Linked DNA regions of Saccharomyces cerevisiae S288C. The gene in region 1 interacts genetically with each later gene. Each region holds a gene or a part of one and is shown on either strand. Other genes may lie near its edges.

Evidence for each region.
Region 2: mutations in MRK1 (region 1) and RPL22A together harm fitness more than expected from each alone (negative genetic interaction), as found in Saccharomyces cerevisiae (2 studies listed by BioGRID).

The regions. Positions count from the first base shown.
Region 1 is NC_001136.10:312,387-316,442, reverse strand, and holds MRK1 (putative serine/threonine protein kinase MRK1), read left to right. Parts: upstream 1-1,694; coding exon 1,695-2,106; intron 2,107-2,398; coding exon 2,399-3,492; downstream 3,493-4,056. Other genes in the region: malate dehydrogenase MDH3, read left to right, coding at 55-1,086; branched-chain-2-oxoacid decarboxylase THI3, read left to right, coding at 3,972-4,056.
Region 2 is NC_001144.5:261,548-264,505, reverse strand, and holds RPL22A (60S ribosomal protein eL22 RPL22A), read right to left. Parts: upstream 1,313-2,958; coding exon 1,301-1,312; intron 912-1,300; coding exon 558-911; downstream 1-557. Other genes in the region: BMT6 (25S rRNA (uracil2843-N3)-methyltransferase), read right to left, coding at 1-349; FRS1 (phenylalanine--tRNA ligase subunit beta), read right to left, coding at 1,740-2,958.

The DNA of each region.
Region 1 (4,056 bases):
GGGAAAACACTTGTCAGTGCAAAAGAAAATAAAAAGAGACAAACAATCATAAACATGGTCAAAGTCGCAATTCTTGGCGCTTCTGGTGGCGTGGGACAACCGCTATCATTACTGCTAAAATTAAGCCCTTACGTTTCCGAGCTGGCGTTGTACGATATCCGAGCTGCGGAAGGCATTGGTAAGGATTTATCTCACATCAACACCAACTCAAGTTGTGTCGGTTATGATAAGGATAGTATTGAGAACACCTTGTCAAATGCTCAGGTGGTGCTAATACCGGCTGGTGTTCCCAGAAAGCCCGGTTTAACTAGAGATGATTTGTTCAAGATGAACGCCGGTATTGTCAAAAGCCTGGTAACCGCTGTTGGAAAGTTCGCACCAAATGCGAGGATTTTAGTCATTTCAAACCCTGTAAACAGTTTGGTCCCTATTGCTGTGGAAACTTTGAAGAAAATGGGTAAGTTCAAACCTGGAAACGTTATGGGTGTGACGAACCTTGACCTGGTACGTGCAGAAACCTTTTTGGTAGATTATTTGATGCTAAAAAACCCCAAAATTGGACAAGAACAAGACAAAACTACAATGCACAGAAAGGTCACTGTTATTGGGGGTCATTCAGGGGAAACCATTATCCCAATAATCACCGACAAATCGCTGGTATTTCAACTTGATAAGCAGTACGAGCACTTCATTCATAGGGTCCAGTTCGGAGGTGATGAAATTGTCAAAGCTAAACAGGGCGCCGGTTCCGCCACGTTGTCCATGGCGTTCGCGGGGGCCAAGTTTGCTGAAGAAGTTTTGAGGAGCTTCCATAATGAGAAACCAGAAACGGAGTCACTTTCCGCATTCGTTTATTTACCAGGCTTAAAAAACGGTAAGAAAGCGCAGCAATTAGTTGGCGACAACTCTATTGAGTATTTTTCCTTGCCAATTGTTTTGAGAAATGGTAGCGTAGTATCCATCGATACCAGTGTTCTGGAAAAACTGTCTCCGAGAGAGGAACAACTCGTTAATACTGCGGTCAAAGAGCTACGCAAGAATATTGAAAAAGGCAAGAGTTTCATCCTAGACTCTTCCAAGCTATGAGCTACTTCAATTTTTATATTTTTCTTAACTCTATACTCCTTTGTATCTTGACTCATATCGTTGTATAATGTTTCGCTTACTATGATATTTTATACTCAAGTAAATTGAAGGAAAGGAAACCATATCCTCCTAGTGGCTGCGCTGCACTACGCCGCTATGACCAATTCCGCTATGACCAGTTTACCTTTACCACACTCACTCCACGATGTTTTAAGCGTTCCTTGTCAAATATGCACCATCTCGTGATTTTTCAAAGATTGGTAAAGGAACATGAAAAAAAAAAAGCGGGGGGGTGGGGAAAATAGAGTTGATTCTGCAAAAGAGAAAGACAAAGGCCGCCCCTGGGAGCAAAGTCGTCCGATGAGGAACTAACCAGGGGCAGCATTATCCGTTAGGATCTACCGGAGAGCTGTTCCAGCGGCGGATCTGAGAAAGATTGGTTCTCCTTTTGTCGCTATATCTTGCAACTTAAATAAGCATTCTCTAAAAAATACTGGTGCTATAAGAACCCTGCTGCATACAAGTATTTCCGTTTCTACCATACTGCGGGGAAGGGACTTGAAAATAATCTCAAGATTGAAGAGGTGAAAATTGTAAAATAGTCTACTATGACCGATGTGTTGAGAAGCCTAGTGCGAAAGATTTCCTTCAATAACTCAGATAACCTTCAGCTAAAACACAAGACATCTATACAGAGTAATACTGCCCTAGAAAAGAAGAAGAGAAAGCCTGATACAATCAAAAAGGTAAGCGACGTTCAAGTTCACCATACTGTACCTAATTTCAATAACAGTTCAGAGTACATCAACGACATAGAGAATCTTATAATATCTAAACTGATAGACGGGGGAAAGGAGGGTATTGCAGTTGATCACATTGAACACGCCAATATCTCGGACAGTAAAACAGATGGAAAAGTTGCCAATAAGCACGAAAATATTAGTAGCAAGCTTAGTAAAGAGAAGGTTGAGAAAATGATTAATTTTGATTATAGGTATATTAAAACCAAGGAAAGGACTAGTATGTATAATTATTTTTTATTTTTTTTTTTTATGTTCTTGCCAGTGGAGGAATGTTTCTTTCGTCACAACCGGAGTGAATAGTGGAACTACTGTCAGTTCATAGTATCGCGACACAAAAAAAAATAATTAAAAGAAAAAAAAAGAGAGTGTAAAATAAAGATTTATGAAATTGCATCCCTAATCTTAGAAACTTGCTTACGAAATATCAGGAAGCATAGCGGAACATTTTTCCATATTACATCAACTACCATTTTTTATGGGAATCACATTATATACTAACATAGGTTTAGTTCATAAACGGGTTTATAAACATGACCGCAAAACTGATGTCGACCGAAAAAATCATGGAGGAACTATCGACATCAGTTATCCTACGACAGAAGTGGTTGGCCATGGTTCATTTGGTGTTGTAGTCACGACTGTAATAATTGAGACCAATCAAAAAGTTGCCATAAAGAAAGTACTACAAGATAGAAGATATAAAAATAGGGAGCTCGAAACTATGAAGATGTTGTGCCATCCAAATACTGTGGGTCTACAGTACTACTTTTACGAAAAGGACGAAGAAGATGAAGTATACCTCAATCTGGTTTTGGACTACATGCCTCAGTCGTTATACCAAAGGCTTCGTCATTTTGTTAATTTGAAAATGCAGATGCCGCGTGTTGAAATTAAATTCTATGCATACCAACTATTCAAAGCTTTAAACTATTTGCATAACGTTCCTCGAATCTGTCACAGAGATATAAAACCGCAAAACCTACTGGTGGATCCGACAACTTTTTCTTTCAAGATTTGCGATTTTGGCAGTGCCAAATGCTTGAAACCGGATCAGCCTAATGTGTCTTACATCTGTTCAAGGTACTATAGGGCTCCCGAACTCATGTTTGGTGCCACTAATTACTCAAACCAGGTCGACGTGTGGTCAAGCGCTTGTGTCATTGCTGAGTTGCTTTTGGGCAAGCCCTTGTTCTCTGGTGAAAGCGGTATAGATCAGTTGGTGGAAATTATTAAGATAATGGGCATACCCACAAAGGATGAAATTTCAGGAATGAACCCAAATTATGAAGACCATGTTTTCCCCAATATCAAGCCCATTACTTTGGCTGAAATATTCAAAGCCGAAGATCCCGATACTCTTGACTTGTTAACAAAAACTCTGAAGTATCACCCTTGCGAAAGATTGGTACCTCTACAATGTCTATTATCAAGCTATTTTGACGAAACCAAACGTTGTGATACCGACACTTACGTAAAAGCACAAAACCTGCGTATATTTGACTTCGACGTGGAAACTGAGTTGGGCCATGTTCCACTTGTGGAACGGCCCGCCATTGAAGAACGGTTGAAACATTTTGTTTCTGCACCTTCATCGTCTTTGTGATATATCTCATCCTTCAAATTTCTTAGTCTATTGTATCATTACTATTACATAATATGCATTTGTCTTCTGCACACAGATACACAGCGTATGCAGTTAACCTAACGTATAACGACCGTCCTCTTTCCTTCATTTAATTTCACTTGCTGCTTTTCTAGGCAGCGGTCGCCCAAATTTTCACCGGCCACAAGCGTATGACTGCATATGCAGAACCTTGGCAACTGTAAGAACTCCTATGTTTCTTTATTGCAAACAGTTGCTAAAAGCACTCACATAGAAGAAAAATTGATGAAACTTGCGATGCATTGAACAAATTTCCCTTTCTTCATACTTTACGGCATAGTAATCTTTGAACCTTTTGGTAAGCACCAAATTCGTAATTCATTATCGATATTGTGTAGAAAAGAGTAAAATATAATAAAACGAAAAAAAAAAGGTTTGAAAGAACATAACTACTAAAACGCACCGTCGTCATTCTGAAGATGAATTCTAGCTATACACAGAGATATGCACTGCCGAAGTGTATAGCAATATCAGATTATCTTTTCCATCGGCTCAACCAGCTGA
Region 2 (2,958 bases), on another chromosome or scaffold:
TGGACGGTGACCAACGACAACAATATGCTATTCTTTTCGAGTCGTTATTGAAAGCAGCATTGTAATCTCTGTTATAAAGGTCAGATTTTACCGCCTGTATTTGTTCAGTTAACGGTGACTTTTCATTGTCTTGATCTTTTGGATATAGCTCTTCTAAGAATGTTATTTTAAAAAGATCGATTATTTCCTGTGGTGGAAGCGTTGATTTATTGTGAACGGGCAATTGGGCCACTTTTTTAGGATTCATGTTAATTGGAAACTGAGAAGAGTAATGATATTGTGAATAAATTGGTATATATTTAAAATATACTGAAGAAGTTAAAAAGGCAAAGCGTCTCATAAGCAACATCAAAAACGTGCAAAAAGAGACCCTGCGATGAGATGTACTCTAATTCAGAAAGAGAAAAAAAAAAAAAAAAAAAAAAAAAATAAAAATGCACTAAGGGCCCAATGGATTTCTTTTTTTGATATTGAATCATTCATTAAACATATTTATTAGGTTTAGAAGATTTTAATTATACAAAACTTATGCTCTATTTAAAATAATATTAATGAATTTATTCTTCGTCTTCTTCTTCGTCTTCTTCTGGAGTGACTTGGTAGAAGGCCAATCTGTATTCGTTGGTCTTGGTAGAGACAAATCTGATCCAGTCTCTCAATTGGTTCTTCTTCAAGTACTTCTTTGTCAAGTACTTCAAGTACTTACCAGAGAACTTGGCAGTGGAAACAACAGTAACAACGGTACCATCTTCAGTGACAGTGACAGCGTTACCCAAGTTACCGACAGCACCTTCGACCTTGATGTGGTCGATCAAGTACTTAGCGTAGGAAGCTGGGTCGAAGACACCGTTTTCAGTTGGAGAAGAGACATCGACGGTAAAGGTCTTGGCAATCTTTTGCTTTCTGGAAGTCTATATCAAAAAAATTAAAGATTGAAAATTAGTAAAAATTTTCAGAACAGTAATGTTAGTAAAAAACGAATATTTCACGATTTTCTTTCAATCCCGAAACCACAAAGTTGCCTACTGCTATTAACAATCACATATGACAATCTCAAACAAAAAAACATTCAGAAACGGATAAAAAGAAGGGAGTCGATATAGAGTTCAATGTTCAAGTAGTGAATTTTTAAAATACAGAAAAGCAACTAAACACATAGACGCTTCTTCGTTTCGTACATTTTTATTTTTTTTTTTTTGGTTTTACTATCTTCCTTGTTATTCGCGTACAATCAATCATTACAATAACAGTAAAACATAGACTTCGTAATCGGGCGTGGATTCCTTTTAAAGTATCATACGTTTGGGGCCATTGTTTCTTAATCTGTTGTTTTGGTGGTTTATAATTTGATAACGGTAAAGTACAGGTAAAGTTGTTAATCTCAATTAATAATGTACATATTGTATGCAGCTAAATGATAGTTTGAAACATTTTAGGAAATTCTCGGTAAGATTTGTTCGCGTGGCCTGTTGAGGATTTTTTCAAAAGAGAAGCGCACTGAGGTGGAAAGGAAAAACAAATTAACATAAATGTATGGATGTATTATTAAATGTACTGATGTTTATCAAAAAAACTGTCTTTGAAAGTTAAGTACAAGCTAAACATTTACTCAGTAGCGGTAGTAATATTATATAAAACATGGTAAACTTTAGTTGTGTTTCTATATATAGATATATATATGTGTCTATCTATCTATATAAGTTTTATAAATCAGTAAAAATTTTTGTTAGAACATTACATTATAGGAAGACTTCGGCATTAACCTCTACAAAGGATGCAGCGAATGGAACGTCGAAATTCATCATGACTTCAGGATGCAAGACACCCAAGTGGCCGATTTGCTTTGGCTCAGCGCCTTCTTTGGATCTGAACATGACCTTGGCACCTCTACCTGGGAAGTAGGTTTTCACAGAATCGTCTTCTTCAATCCAGTAACCTCTGCCAGAAGCAGCAGCACCGTAGTCTGCAATCCACTCTGTTCTAAAAGTTTGCATGATTTTACCCAATAACCCTTGAATGATTTCAAACCCAGAATTCTTACCCACGTAGATGGCAGCCCAGTGACGTTCATTGTACGCCTTCCTTTCTAGTTTGTCGTCTTTAAATACAACGTCACCGGTTTCAAAGACTTTGATTGGCAAGGAATGTTTTCTGTTTTCCTTGACTGTCTTTAAGATACCAGGCAATAAAGTGGTTCTAACAACTTGGTATTCCAAAGTCTTTGGGTTGGCCAATTTGACAGCTAAATCACCATTGTCGGATTGTCTTAGAAATTTAAAGTTTTCATCGTGCGAACATAAGGTCAATGGTAAAACCTCAACCCACGTGGCTTGAGAGGATGCAACTCTGAAAATATCAGAAACCTTGTTGATTGGTAATGGTTTGGCAATGAAGTTGGCATTGGATAATTTCTCACCCTTTGGCAAATTATTGAAACCATAACCGACAGCGGCATCTTCCATTATATCACAAGCGTGCAAAATATCAGGTCTAGTTACCGGAATGTCAACGTGCAAGATGTCCTTGTCTTCCTTTGATTGAACGGCATGCAACGACATCTTCTTTAGACAATGAGCAATTTCATCAGCGGATTGATCTAGGCCAAGACAGGAGTTGATGTACTTAATGGAGACATCCATAATTCTATCGTTGAAGTTTGGCGCCAAACGGGATTGGCCATTGTGTTCAGAGACAATTTCTACAGGCTCAACCGTGAATGGTTCGTCACAATAACGTGAGAACATTGTAGTTAATATGTTCAAAACGATCTCGGCTTTGGTCTTATCGGTGGCGGTTATATCAATCAAAATGTTACGGGTGTTCACAGAGATCTTCGAATGTTCACTATTGATTAATGGTGGCAGGGAGCAAACACGATCTTTGCTGTCCATAATAACTGGGAAGACTGGAGAATCCTCAATAATGTGAACGTATCTCCCTATGTTGTTTTTCTGTTCT